Linked DNA regions of Ovis aries. The protein of the gene in region 2 binds, or shares a complex with, the protein of the main gene of each other region. Links are inferred from orthologs where the notes say so. Each region holds a gene or a part of one and is shown on either strand. Other genes may lie near its edges.

Evidence for each region. Proteins that work in one complex are often made in the same cells at the same time.
Region 1: the proteins of GRK1 (region 2) and RCVRN are in contact, whole or in part, in an NMR structure (PDB 2I94), measured with the Bos taurus proteins. The link is inferred for Ovis aries from reciprocal best matches to the Homo sapiens genes GRK1 and RCVRN. Residues at the interface, in NP_776598.1 of Bos taurus: Phe3, Gly4, Leu6, Glu7, Val9, Val10, Ala11, Asn12, Ser13, Ala14, Phe15, Ile16; in NP_776590.1 of Bos taurus: Lys22, Trp31, Ser34, Phe35, Glu38, Cys39, Phe49, Ile52, Tyr53, Lys55, Phe56, Phe57, Tyr86, Leu90, Thr93, Ser94, Phe188, Glu189.

What each region holds. Positions count from the first base shown.
Region 1 is NC_056064.1:28,840,194-28,846,996, forward strand, and holds part of RCVRN (recoverin), read right to left. Parts: intron 3,459-6,803; coding exon 3,347-3,458; intron 1-3,346. UniProt on the Homo sapiens protein: Acts as a calcium sensor and regulates phototransduction of cone and rod photoreceptor cells. Modulates light sensitivity of cone photoreceptor in dark and dim conditions.
Region 2 is NC_056063.1:86,080,713-86,088,864, reverse strand, and holds the start of GRK1 (rhodopsin kinase GRK1), read right to left. Parts: upstream 4,287-8,152; 5' UTR 2,018-4,286; coding exon 1,328-2,017; intron 1-1,327. UniProt on the Homo sapiens protein: Retina-specific kinase involved in the signal turnoff via phosphorylation of rhodopsin (RHO), the G protein- coupled receptor that initiates the phototransduction cascade.

The DNA of each region.
Region 1 (6,803 bases), on a different chromosome or scaffold from region 2:
GGCTGTTTCCAGCTGCAATGAAGCTGATCTTTGCAAGCATACCCAGAGTGGATGGCTCTATTATGAAAATACTAATCTCCTTGCCCCTGAGGATAACCCCACCCTCCAGCTCTTTCCTAGGACCCCTGGACCTCCCGGTGAACCAGCAATGAGAGGGTTAATGACAGGCCCTGCAGGGCCTCCAGGAGGCTGGGCTAGTGCTGTATCTCTTCTGATTGGTTGGCGATCCTTTCCTAGGCATTTCTGCATCCCTAATCCTAAAGGAGATCAGTCCTGGGTGTTCATTGGAAGGACTGATGTTGAAGCTGGAACTCCAATACTTTGGCAACCTGATGCGAAGAGCTGACCCATTTGAAAAGACCCTGATGCTGGGAAAGATTGAGGGCAGGAGGTGAAGGGGACGACAGAGGATGAGATGATTGGATGGCATCACCGACTCGGTGGACATGGATCCGGAAGTTGGTGATGGACAGGGAGGCGTGCTGTGGTTCATGGGGTCGCAAAGAGTCAGACATGACTGAGCGACTGAACTGAACTGAATCTACCTCCCCATTTGGGGCAAGAAAGGGCTTTGCCCCAACTATTGAATTTGGTTCTCTCCAGTTAAATGCACTCACTAAGCCCTTCCTCTGTGCCAGAGTCACTGTGTACGGGGCTGAGGTCATTGCAGGGGGCAGAGGGCAGGGTGTGGCATGAAAGAGAGTGAGATAATGCCCCTGGCCTGGGAAACTGTTTGTCTGATGGGGAGAGAGTCACCTGTGGAAGTGACTTTGTGCTGTGCTGCGCTTAGTTGCTCAGTTGTGTCTGACTCTTTGCAACCCCATGGACTGTAGCCCGCCAGGCTCCTCTGTCTATGGGGATTCTCCAACAAGAATACTGGAGTGAGTTGCCATGCCCTCCTCCAGGGGATCTTCCCAATCCAGGGATCAAACCCAGGTCTCCTGCATTGCAGGCGGATTCTTTACCATCTGAGCCACCAGGGAAGCCCAGAAATGACTCTAGAATGAGGCAAATGTTCCTTCCTGCTTATGGCGAGGCTCATAGTCCTGATGTACTAAGTGCTCAGTAAAGCTTGGCTTAACTGAACTGGGTTTCCATTGGCTTTTTATGTTCCAGGCCTTTTGAGTGACCTTAATCCTTCCTGTTTAGGATGCAGGTTCCTTGTACAGGTCAGGGTGCTGAAATGTGGGTTTTAAGGTCCCTGGTGCCCTATGAGCCTCACTGATAGCTTGAAACTCCTACTCTCAGAAGCTGATTGTGGAGTGAAGCCTGGTCTTCAGATGGACCATGTGAAAACACAAGTCACCTGGCAGGAGTACCACTGCCTCCTGTGACATTCACTGCGGTCAATATTCAGGTCAGCAAGTAGCAGAACAAGGGACTCAGCGCCTGCCAGACCCAGCAGGATGTCAGGATGGGGGTTAAAGAGCCAGAGGGGTGACGTGCCACTGGGAGGCACCTGAAGCAGCCAGGAGAAGGTGTTCAAAGGGGAGGTGACGTCTGGGTGAGGAAAGGGAGGTACCTCCCCTTTAACATTTAAGGAGGCTCTCACTTTCAGCATAGTATGGGCACAGGGCTGGCACCTGAGAAAAGGGTCTCCTTAAGTCTTGTGCCAGGGCACCTCACATGCCTCACTCTAATTCTGGCTCTAACGTCACAGATCTGGTTGCTAATCTACCTTCTCCCTGGACTGCAGATTAATAGGGGCCTTCTTTATCATCCTCCTTGGGCGTGTGACCTGGAACCCTGGTAAGAGACTGGCCCAGAGATCACAAATGGACCGATACCAGCTTCTCAGATGTGTGTGGACCATGTAGTGTTTCATCAGTGGAGGCACTTCAGATTTTAAAAATCTCAATTGCTGGCTTCTCTTTAAAGAAAAAAAAAAAGACAATGAGGCCCCAACGGATCTGTATTCCTATGTGGTAACAACTGACCAGAGGCCGTAAAACCAGGCAGACCCTCATGCCCCACTGTTTGCCAGTCCCTATTGCTTCATTGGGCCACTGTCCACTCCTCTCACATTCATCATCCCAGACCCAGTGGTCATTCAAGTTTGCAGTCCCCGTCTGACACCAGCCCCTCTCCTGTGTCCTTCCCGAGCTGGACATGGGCTTCAGGTACCAGCAGCCCCTGCCACCCAATTCTGGAATCCATCACCGCTTTCAGTACAAGCTCACCTTCCCCATTGGCTGCTCTTTGCCAGACTGAACAGGGGAGGGAGCCAAGACAGGTCAGCTCCTGGCAGAAGGGGGCCCGAGGACACACCCTCAGCTTCATCAAGACTTTCTTAGCCCAGCCCTGCAGTTTAAGACTTTTCTTGAGTCTGCCCATAAGCCGTTCATCTGCTTTGCAGTCTGATGGCTTTCCCAGCCTCCTGAAGATCTCTCCTCATTTCCCCTCATAGCACACCCCCTACCCCCATCAATCTCTTGAAATTGAATTGAAATCTAATTCCATCTGATGGTGCTTGGGGGTTGGGAGGGGGGACCCGAACTAATTTCCTAAAGTAACACCATATAAATTGAGATCCTGCATACTTGGGATGCCATGCTAATTCTGAAGTGAGCTTTACCCCATCCCAGCTGTGAAGAAGGCTACTTGTTTGGTTTAAACAAGTAAACCAAAGTGTCCTAAAATAACAACAAAACACTGGGCACTCCATTCAAAAAGAAAGCAGTATGCTTGCAAAGCCTCAAAACTTGTCATTTGTATACAAAATGATGGGCTGTTGCCTTGATTTTTTAATCTTTCTTCAAAGTGGGTTTGAAGAGAAGGCAATGGCACCCCACTCCAGTACTCTTGCCTGGAAAATCCCGTGGACGGGGGAGCCTGGAAGGCTGCAGTCCATGGGGTTGCTGAGGGTCGGGCATGACTCAGCGACTTCATTTTCACTTTTCACTTTCCTGCATTGGAGAAGGAAATGGCAACCCACTCCAGTGTTCTTGCCTGGAGAATCCCAGGGACAGGGAAGCCTGGTGGGCTGCCGTCTACGGGGTCGCACAGAGTCGGACACGACTGAAGTGACTTAGCAAAGTGGGTTAATTCTGTCCAAACAAAAGATGCTTTTTTTTCCAAAGCACCCCATCATTTAGAGCCTGCATTCGCCCCCAGAGAATCTCAGGCAGTGGTGGAGTTTTATGAGTGGTGGGAGGTGGTGACATTTTCAGTCAGTTCCAGAAGGGCCCACAACTGTCTGCTGACCATTCTTCTGCTGATCACCTTGTGGTGGGAGGAGGGGTCCTCCGTCCCACCTGGTCTCTGGACTGGGAAGAGTCAATCTCATTGGGATCTCTAGGACATAGCCCGGCACTGTGAAATCAAGGGCTGGGAAGAAGTCACTCACCATCATCCTTCTTGCCAAAGAACCCCCAGATCTTCTCTGCTCGCTTCTCCGGAGTGTTCTCATCTTCTGGGAGACGCTTTGCATCCTCAGGACTGATCATTTTGAAGATAGCCTGCATCAAATTGAGGGGGAGCACTGGTCAGAAGAAGTGATTCTGGGGGAACCCACATGGCTGAGCAGGACGCTGAGGTTAAAATGCAGATGCTCAGGCCCCCCAACCCACTGGCACCAGCTAAATCCTAGTTCTTGAGAGTGGGCAGGAGTCATCTGTACTTTTAAGAAGAGGAAGGGAATGTGGGGAAGAGGTGAGGATGACTTTCCCTTCTTATTTTGTCCCTTTCTGTACAGTCTGAATTTCCTGACCATGCAGACATATTACTTTCATTGTATTAAAAAATGAAAATAAGAAATAAAAAGCTTTCTGAAGGCTGCATTTTGAAAACTGGTACCTTTGACCTCACTGCCCAGAAGTACATCAGATGGCTTTTTCTGAATCCAAGTGGTACTTTGGTTGCCTAGCAGGCTGGCTTATGGTGTGTGTGTGCTAAGTCACTTCAGTTGTGTCCAACTCTTTGCGACCCCATTAACTATAGCCTGCCAGGCTCCTCTGTCCATGGGATTCTCCAGACAAGAATACTGGAGTGGGTTGCCATGCCCTCCTCCAGGGGATCTTCCTGATCCAGGGAGCGAACCTGTGTCTCTTCCATCTCCTGCATTGGCAGGTGGGTTCTTCAACAGTAGCGCCACATGGATTACTTATGGTAATAAGAGCTAATGTTTGTTAAGTGATTAACACGTGCCACATTTCTAAGTGTTTTTACATGTAAACTCATGACAGCTTCATGAGGTGGGTGTTATTGGCCCATTTCACAGATGGAGAAACTGAATCAGCTGACTTGCTAGAATTCGGCCAACCAGAAGCAGAAGACTGGAGATGCTAACCCTGGCAAGTTTGGTTCTAAAACCTCTGTGCTTGCATCTCATGCTATTCCTAGAATGTCTTGGAGAGCATGGTAGGGGCTGGATAAGGCCTCTGGAAGCCCCTCCTTTACCCCTCTGCTTAGGGAGGGTAAAGCTCAAGGGTCCTTCTCACTTCCCTCTACTCTAGCTAATACAGGAGCTGAGTCGACAATGTCCAGCAAAGCAGGAAGTGCCTTCCGACACGTGATCAGGAAAAGGGACGGGGTAGTCTTGATGTGCCCGTTCAGCTCCAGGTTACTAGGATTCCAGCAGGCTGGCCAGACCCAGGGTGGATGCTCAAGGTTGTGGCTCCCCCATCTTGAGTGTCCCAGCTTGCGACCGAAGTGTTGGGACTGGGATGCCGTGGAGACGTCAGGGAACCAGCCAGGCAGGGGCAGTGATGCCTATGAAATTTACCTGGAGGGAAGAGCAGTGGCTTTAGAAACTCCCTTTCAGCTTCCTGTGCTGTAGCAAGAGAAGCAAGGAAGTTGAAACCCGCAGCTGGGGCAGCTGCCTCACCGACAGCGCTCAGAGCTCCGAGGTACCCGGCAGTGAAGTAAGGGCTCCTTTAAATTCCTCAGCCGGGGACCCTTGGGCAGGCCGGAAGGCTAACGGCTGGGAGTGACTGGCTGCCCATCACCCCGCTTCTAAAACCAAGGGCACACTGTCAGGGCCTCCGGGAATGGACTGCCAAAGAACCATTACATCCTCGCCTTGGGGCGGTGGGAGGTTCTGTGGTTTTCTGGAGGCCCAGCTTGGTGGTGGTACATCAGAACCCACAACAGATGACTGACTCCCAGGCCAGTTACCTTGGACATGGTGAATAGTAGAGGCTTGGCATGCTCTTGCATAGCCTCATCTGTGGTCGTGCCCTTCTCTCTCTGCCTCCCCACGCCTTCCCACCCTCTCCTTCCTCCTTCCCTTCCCCTCTACCCCTTCATCTTCTTCCTCCTCCTTTTTCTGAAGAAGCACCAACTCAGAGGCCTCTGCTGGGCTTGGCATCCTTTAGGTGGTCCCTGCTGCAGGCCACCTGTCAATCCAAGGAGCTTGCGCTGCAGGCCCTGCCCAGAGACCAGTGAGGTTTCTACACACACCTGCCCCTAATGGGAGGCCCAAGAAGGAGTCGCTGACCACGGCTGCATCCTTGGCTGTTTTCTCTATGGTCTTGCCTAATAAGGGTGGAAGAATTGGGTGAATGAAAGTGGGATTACAAATGCCTCAAAAATTATATGAAAGATGAAGAATATTCTCTCTTTACAGGAATGGGATTAGAGAAAGAAAACAAGTGGCATGGGGTGGGGGTGGGGGGCAAAAAAAAAATCCAGTAAAATGATACTGAGTGAAGGGAAAGAAATAATAAGGAAAAAATAGAAGCATCCTCATTGTCCAAAAATATAGGAATGGTTAAGTAATTTTATGACATGTCTATAAGATGGAATTCTAAGCAGCTGTTAAAAGCAATTTGATATAAAATAGTGAATGAAGAACAGTATGATAAAACCATATGTGAATATGTCCTAATTCTAAAGTTATTTTTAAATATATAAATAAAAGACTGGAAAGATACATGCCTATTTGTTGACAGTAGTTTTCTCTGGATGATGAAATTAAAGGCAATTTTCGTTTTCTTTGGCATGCATTTTATATTAAATAAAACTACTTTTCAAACACCTAAAAGTCTTGGCAGATGATCCGACCCTGGGCCAACCTATTTGAAACATGTTATGTCTCTAAAATGACTCGTGAGGGACTTCCTTGGCTGCCCAGTGGTTAGGACTCGGGGCTTTCGCTGCAGTGGCGGTGGCCCCTGGTTCAATCCCTGTTTGGGGCAGTAAGATCCCAAAAGCCACAGGACCCAAATAAAATAAACATAAATACATAAATATATTGGGTTGGCCAAAAAGTTCGTTAGGGTTTGTCCATAAGATCTTATGAAAGGGACTTCCCTGGTGGTCCAGTGGCTAAGATTTTTGGGCTCCCAATGCTGGAGGGTGGAGTTGGTGTTCCACCCCTGGTCAGGGAACTAGGCTTCACCTGCCTCAACTAAGATGCCCCCAACCCCGGAGCCAAAAAAAAAAAAAAAAAGAATGCACGTGTGTCCTATTGGAGGTTCTGAAGAATGCTTTATTATTTTTAACACCTACTTATTTATATATTTTCTTAACTGCACTGCACAGCAGGTGGGATCTTATTTCCCTGACCAGGGATGGAAACTGCACCCCTCGCATTGGAATCACTGGACACCCAGGGAAGTCCCTGGAGAACGCTTTAATGAAGAAAGGAAGGAAGATGGGAGGGAAAGAAGGAAACGGTAAAGGTAGGTAACAGAAAATTCCCACATTCTTCTTCTCTAGGAGGAAAATGAAGCTGTGGGAAGGTGCCCTGTGCTGTGCTAAATCGCTTGGTTGTGTCTGACTCTTCGCAACCCCATGGACTGTGGCCTGCCAGGCTCCTCTGTCTATGGGGATTCTCCAGGCAAGAATACTGTCTGGCTCTC
Region 2 (8,152 bases):
CACCAGCTCGATGGACATGAGTGTGAGCAAGCTCCGGGAGCTGGTGAAGGACAGGGAGGCCTGGCGTGCTGCGGTCAACAGGGTCGCAGAGTCGGACATGACTGAGCGGCTGACCAGCAACAGCAGCGCAGTCACAAGGACTGAGTGACGCGCCCCACAGGCCCCGCCTTGCGGGGACAGGACACAGCCTGGGGACAGTCACGTGCAGGGACTTCAGGGCTCCTGGGGCCTCGAGCGAGGGGGCTCCAACCACCAGCCTTGCAAATGCCCCTGGCGCCACGCGGGCCCCTGGGCACCTGTGAGCACCGGCCTTCCCTCCAGCTCCACCTCTGCAGACCCGCCTCTCCTCCTGTCCAGGCCTCTGGACAGTGGAGGCCAGCCGGGCCCACTGGCCAGCACCCTCCCAAGCCACCCTGCACCGCCAGCCTCTTTCTATACTCATCTTAAAACCCTATGGAGTCCTTTTAAAGTGCTTCTAAAAGTTGTGCTGGGTAAGGAGAAGAGCCCTTCTTGATTTGGGAAGCCCTTTCTCTCCACTGCATTGGAAGATCTTAGGCAGATTGTACTGTAAAAGTTCAGTAAGTTTCCTGAACTCGGGAGAGAAGCAGCTTAGTTCCCTAACAGCTGGGTTAAGATTGCAGGTAGATGGCCCGAGGGTGACCGCTGCCCCGGAGTCCATTGGGCAGAGCGCCCTCAGGGGCCCTGGGTGGGGTGCTGCGGGGGGGCTGCCATTCACCCTAGCACAGGAACGCTGGCGCTAGACGGAGCACGGCCGGAGACGAGTATCCGAGACACTAAGCCACTTTGATCCCGCCCGAACGGAGCCTGATGCCAGAGGCAGAGCCGGGGGGCCTCTGCCCACTGTGTACCCCTGCCTCCCCCCAGGACCCGGGCAGCGCTGAGCTGGGCGCCCTGGCCTCCCCGCACTGGCCCTGGGGATGCCCTGGGCAGCCTCCTCACTGCGCAACCAGGGTGTCCCGGGAAGCCAGAGGGAGGGGTCTGGGGAACCGATCCAGCCTCCCTGGCACTGGCTGCTGTGTCTCGTGGGGGCACCAGCAGACCGAGGAGGATGAGGAAGCTGGCACGCCACCCTCGCCAGCTACGCCCAGGCCGCGCTTCGAGGAGGACGGCCACCTGGCCCGTCCCAGGCGCAGGGCTAGAGGCCCAGAGCAGCCGGCCGAGCCGAGCCGCAGGCCCAGTGTGGAGCCTCACCCACGCCCGCGGCCCTGGCCAGGCACTCGGCCGCTGTGCAGACAGGCGGGTATGACCAGGGGGTGCAGGGGACCGACCCCCACCCAGGGCCGCCCCCCGGAGCGGCACAGCCCACCTGGTATCCCTTCCGCTTCTTCAGCCGCTTCTTGTTCAGCTTCTTGCATGCGTACAGCTTGCCGGTGGCCTTCATCTGGCAGGCGAACACCTCCCCGAAGCCGCCCCGCCCCAGCACCCTGAAGTCTAGGAACCAGTCCTCGCCCATGGGCTGGGCCTCCAGCCACTTCCACTGCAAGAAGCGCAGGAAGTAGAGACTGTCCAGGAACTCCTGGAAAGGGGCCTGGCCTAGGTGTGCCAGGACGGCCCGCAGCAGGGGCTGGAAGAGCCCGTCCCCTGCCCCCTCCCGGGCCCGCGCCGCTGTCTCCGCATCCAGGAAGCTGCAGAAGAGCTGGGCCTGGGGGTCCAGGTACGCGGCCCGGATGGCCTGGGCCTTCTGCGGCCGGAGGGCATCGTCAGCCGTGTCATAGTCCTCGATGTCCCTCCAGACCTGCAGGGCCGGCCCGTGCTGCTCGTGGGCCCGCAGAAACTGCTGGAAGAGCCGCTTGCCGATGGGCTGCTCCAGGCACACACCCTCGAAGCCCAGGTCGAGGCTCTCCCGGAGCGCCTCACACTTGGACAGCGGGGGCAGCTTGAGCCTGGCCAGGTACTTCCTGTCCCGGGCGGCCGGACCGCTGCTCGCGTCGAAGCTGCCCCGGGCCGCGATGAAGGCCGAATTGGCCACCACCGTCTCCAGGGACCCGAAATCCATCCCAGCGCCGGGCCCTGTTCACGTCTGGCTCCCGCGTCCCCAGCCGGCCTGACCTGCTGCCCTTGGCCTGTGGCCCGTGCCCACCCTCGGGATGGGAGGCTGGCCAGGCGGTGGGAGCCCCAGGAAGCCCGCTGACGCAGCTCGGGCTAAATCCCAGCCAGAGTAGAGGACGTGCAGGGCAGCAAGCAGGTGCCAGAAAAAGACAATCCCTAAGCTGCTCGCAGACGGATTAGCCGGGCTGCGCTGCCCACTGCTTCCTGCGAGGAAGGGCACGCGGGGCCCAGGCCCACCTCGCAGGCCCGGAGCCCCTGCCTCACGGGAGCTGCCCTGTCCAGCCCGCAGGCCCGAGCAGACGGGCCGGAGCCTCATCTGCTCCCTGGTGGGGACACGGGGCCCAGGAGGAGCCTCGGTTCACGAACATGGCTGGTTTTCCTCACCGTGGGCCATCTTCGTCTTTAGAAAAGCAATCAGCGAGGAGACCAGCGGATGCTGGTTTATGAGTAGACTTCCCGCGTGTCCACAGGCGAGACCCTGCCCAGGGGACACCCTGGCCAGGGCACCGGTCAGTATGTGAGCCCGGACACTCGTGCCAACCTGGCCCTGAGAACAGCGTGTCAGGCTGGTGGCGTCCTCGCCTGGGGCCCTGGCTCCTGCCGAGGAGTCAGCTCCCCGTCAGCCCCTGCCCTCACCGGTGTGGCTGGTGGAGCAGGAATGCCAAGAGAAGCGTCCAGGTGGAAACAGAGCAGCATGCAGGACACAGCGACTGCACCTGGGGCTGAGGCCCCACGGAGAGAGGCAGGAGAGCGGATGGAGAGGCCAGGGGCACGCCCGGGGCCCCCCGAGACACGCCCGGGGCTCGCCCGGGACACGCCCGGGACACGCCCGGGGCTCCCCGAGACACGCCCGGGGCTCGCCCTAGACTCACTCCGGGCTCCCCTGAGACGCACCTGGGACACTTGGACACAGCTGGGGCGCACTCACAGGGCACCTGGGCTCACCTCGGCACAGCCTTGCCGGTCTTGCTCTAGTGGGCAGCAGGTGCTCGGTGCCTACCGTAAGGGGAAAAATGATGAGGAAGCGGTGGGGGTTGGTGACAGTTGAAGAAGGGAGGGGTGAAGGGCCACAGAAATGCAGAACGCCCCAGCCAGAAGGGGCCAGGGAGCCGGCCTCCACGGCGGGAGGGGAGGGCTCCAGAGGGCAGGGAGGCTCTGCAGGGGTGGGAGGACGGCGGACTCTGCAGCAGCTGGGGAGGCAGAGGAGAGGGCTCACCACTGAGAGGGCGGGTTGGCGCGTCCAGCGGCACTTCCTAGCAGGTGACCTTGGGCCAGTCGCTGCAACCCCTTCCTGCCTTTTCTTTACCCTCCAGGGATCAGATGGGACAGCAGCCCCAGCACAGGCCTGGGCTGGAGTCCCCTCCTTAGTGTTCCTGACTCTGTGTCCTGAGCCAGTGCCTCCCAGTGGCACCAGGCACTCGAGTCACCTGGAGAAATAAAGGTCTGCTTCGGTGGGCCTGGCACGGGGCTGGGACTGAGGTCAGGACGCAGCCCGAGAGGCAGGGTCTGAGGACAGCGAAGCCCGCTGGATGAACTCTGAGCTCCCTCCGGGGGAAGCACAGGGTAAGCAACCTTAGACGTGTTTATCACGGGGCTTACAGGCTGAAGAGCAAGCCCGGCGAGAGGAGTCAAGTACACAGAGCTCCCTAAACTCATCGGGTCCTTTTCCAAAATTAAAGTTTTACTGAGAGTAACTGTAGACTCACATGCAGTTATAAGAAGTAATGCAGAGACCCCCGCGCCCTGGCCCCGCCCCCAGTGACAGCACCTCCCCCACCCAGCCCAGGATCAAAGCGCACACCGACGTGGACACAGCCAGCACTCAGGACCCCCGACACCACGTGGTCCCCTCTTATAGACAGCCACCCCTTCCCACCCTGACACTGTCCTGAACCTTGATAGCCGCTCAGCTGTTCTCCATTTCCATAAAGCTGTCATTTCAAGAATGTTATATGTTGCAGTCCATGGGGTCACAAAGGGTCAGACACTACTCAGCAGCTGAAAAGCAACTCCACATAAGTTCAGTTCAGTTCAGCTCAGTCGCTCAGTCGTGTCCGACTCTTTGCGACCCCATGAATCGCAGCACGCCAGGCCTCCCTGTCCATCACCAATTCCCGGAGTTCACTCAAACTCACGCCCATCGGGGAGTTGCACGTTATATAACTTCGGGGACTGGCTCTTCACTCAGCATGACTCCCTGGAGGCAAGCAGGTGGCTTGCCTACCCACACCTGAGTAGTATTCCACAGTGCAGGGGGACCATGGCTGGTTTAATCATTCGCTTGTTGAAGGACATCTAGGTTGATTCCAGTTTGGGCTATCGTAAATAAAGCTGCTATAAACATACAGATATCCATACAGATATAAAGTTTAGTTTCTCTGGATTAGTGCCCGAGAGCATTGCTGGGTCATGCGGCACTTGCGATATTTGCATGTTTGATTTTTTAAGAAACTGGCAAACTTTTCCCCAGATGGTGCAGGATGAGATGGTTGGATAACATCACCAACACAACGGACATAAGTTTGAGTAAACTCTGAGAGACAGTGAAGGACAGGGAAGCCTGGTGTGCTGAAGTCCAGAGGGTCACAGAGAGTCAGACACGACTTAGCCACTGAACCCCAACTACCATTTTCCACTCCTGCCAGCAACGTATGAGCAACCCAGTTTCTCAGCATCCTCACCAGCATTTGGAGTTGTCGCCATTTTTCATTCCAGCTCTTGTGATAGGTGGTACCCCACTGTGCTTTTACTTTGCATTTCCTCACTGGCCGGTTATGTTGGGCATTTATGCAAGTGTTTATTTCCCATCTGCGAATCCTCTTTGGTGAAATATCTCTTCACGTCTTTTGACCGCATTCTAACTGGACTGCTTGCTTTTCTGATGTTGTATTTGAAGTCCAATTTTTCAGTTTTTTTTTTCTTATTTTGGTGTCAAGTCTTAAAACTCTGTCTTAACCTTTAAGAACCACTTAAAGATTTTCTCACATTTTTTTTTCTAAAAGTTGTATACTTTCACATGTAAATCCATGACCATTTTGAGTTAATTTTTTTGCAAGCTGTGAGCTAGGTCGGGGTTTTTGGACGTTCAGTTGCTCAAGCTCCATGTGCTAAAAAGGTCATCTTTGCTTCAGTGAACGTCTTTGGCGCTGCTGTCAAAGTCCATGGGCGCGTGGGCATGAATCTGCTTCTGAGTTTTCTATTGTGTTTATCGATCTCTGCCCCTCACTGTCTTGATGATGTGTTTCTATCTGTCCTTGCAGCCTTGAAGTTATGCGGACCAAGTCTTCCTACCTTATTTTTCATTTTTAAAATATTTTCTAAAAAAGTAAATATTTCAAATAAAGAATAAAATATTTAACTTTTCTAGTTCCTTGGCCTTTCTAAATAAATTTTAGAATAGCCCTATCCCTAGATACAAAACAAGGTCTTGCCTGGATGTTGATAGAAACTGTGTTAAGACAGCATATCAGTTTGGGGAGCATGGACATCTGTGTAGAGTCTTGCAACCTGTGAGCACACTGTGTGTCTGCATCCGTGTAGATTTCTGTCTCACGGTCACTTTGTGGTCTTCAGTACAAAAGCCCTGTACACGCTCTGCTAGATGAACACCTGATCAGCCCTGGGACTTCTTTGGAAGGAACGATGCTGAAGCTGAAACGCCAGTACTTTGGCCACCTCATGCGAAGAGTTGACTCATTGGAAAAGACGCTGATGCTGGGAGGGATTGGGGGCAGGAGGAGAAGGGGACGACAGAGGATGAGATGGCTGAGTGGCATCACGGACTCGATGGACGTGAGTCTGAGTGAACTCCGGGAGATGGTGATGGACAGGGAGGCCTGGCGTGCTGCGATTCATGGGGTCGCAAAGAGTCGGACACGACTGAGCAACTGAGCTGAACTGAACTGGACTGAAGTCCTTTTTGTTTTGAGCAGTTGCTTTCTGGAGTTGCACGTGTGTGTCTTTGAAATCCAGAAGTTCGATTGCCGTGTGGCAGGGGTGGGGTGCCTTGTTAGCAGTTCTCTCCGCTTCTTGGATCTGAAGGCTCACTCCTCACCCCCCTTTATTCTGCCCTTGCAGGACCCCAACGACTCGGGCGTCAGTCTTTACCAAACCTGGGCACCGAGCTCAGCACAATTTTTTCTGGCTCTAGTTTCTCTCTATTTGTTCAAACCTGGAAACTTCTATTTTTTTTCTTCCAAGTCACTGATCCTTTCCCCTCTCCCCTCCCCTCTGCTGAGGAATACATTCTTTGAGCTTTTTAGTCTGGCTTCTGTATTTTTTAATCTAGAATTTCCATTTGGTTCTTCTTTGTATCTTTGGTTTCTTTCCTTAAACTCCCTGCTTCTGTTTCCCATTTGTTCACGCATGTTCACAGATGCTCAATGAAGCACCTTCACTGCGGCAGCTTGACAGCCTGTCGATGACACCAGCCTTTGTCACCCCAGTCTTGACACCTATTGACGCTCCTGTTTCGATCCCTTTTGAGGTCTTCCCAGGTCTTGCTCTGATCAGTGGTCATCCACTGGGCATCTTCCTCCCATCTAGCGCTTCAGTTTCCTCTGACTCCTCGGGCCCCCGAGCAGGAGCGGAGGGGTGGATCCTGCTCCTTACGGCCCCTAGGTGGGAACCTGGGGTGAGCCCCCACGGTCTGGGGTGCACCCTTTTCGGAGGTCATCTGCTCAAGTGGTCCCGCAGGCATGCTGGGCAGGAAGCTGCCCTCTCCCAGTGCCCACCCCCAACCATGGACACATGTCCCGAGAAGGTCGTTGAGACAGCACGTCTGCAGCTCAGCACACACGTTCATGCTGTGGGAATTCAGAGCCTGAGCATGAGGGTTCAGCCCCAGACTAAGCCCCGGGCGTCTGCACTGTGCAGGCCAGGGCTGCAGTCTGCGTCTGGCAGTTGCTGCCCTGCACCTTGAGCCTCCTCGCCTGGGGTCCCAGCTCTACCGGCGTGGACAGTGAGACCAAAGCCCAAGGCCACACTCTGCGTTTCTACTGCCCTGAAGTTCCAAAGCCGTGACCGGGAACAGAGTGCAGGAGAGCGCCCATTAAGAAACCCAAGAAATTGTGAGTCCAAGCTAAAATGCTACACTTTATCATTTTGAATGATAAATGAATTTTTATCATTTTGCTGACAAACTCTAAATCACCCTGAAGAAAATGGCATAATGCCTGGAGGGTTTTTCATAGTTCTCACCCTGGAAGAAACCTTCCTATCTGACCCTGTGGGTCCCTCAGAGGGAGCAGGACAGTGGGCGGCTGCACAGCTAGAGCTGCGGGCGATCCCCGTCAACCCAGCCAGTTCTGACGGGTCTGTGAAGGGGCCTGCGGTCCACCACCCCTGCCTGCTGTGGCCTCATCGTAGAGGAGGGCGCCGCATCCCTGGGCGGTGTCCGCTCCCCGGGGAGCCAAGGTCGCGGCCCTGGCTACTTAGCAGCCAAGGCTCCTTGGTTCGACCACACACCACAGGCGTCTGGGGGGTGGTCCAGACACTCAGGCCACCCGCAGGTCAGCCCGCTCAGAAACTCAGGGCTGGGACCAGTGTCAGAGGCCGCCAAGGCTCCCCAGACCACACGGATGTGGCTCCGGGCGGCGTGTCCACTGCCCAGATATGGCTGTGGTCCTGCAGCCGCAGTCGAGGCCCCCGGGAGCCCCCGGCCCACTGGGCCCAACCGGGTCAGAACCTGCCTTTGAACAGCACGCCCGGGGTCCGGCGTCGCTGAGTGAAAAGCACGTCTCGCTGTAGGGCAGTGGGCCCCTGTGTGGCTTTCAGGGCAGCACGTGAGGTCACCCAAGCTGCGCTCGAGTGTCGGGACCCCTGAGCCCCCAGGCCACCTCCCAGGGCGCCGGTGAGCTTGGCTCTCCAGCAGCAGCAGTGACAGGGACAGGAGCCCCCAGCTCCCGCCCCTCCGGGGCCCCGCCGTCAACCTCAGGCTCCTGCCCCTTCAGCTCGAGCCTCTCGGCCACGGCTGGGCGCCGGGTACAGGCCTGGCCTCGCCGACCTGCTTTCCTGCCGGCCCCTCCCAAGCGCCTGCTGGTCTCCTTGCTTGCTTGTTATCAGAGCAGATAAAGTTCCCGCC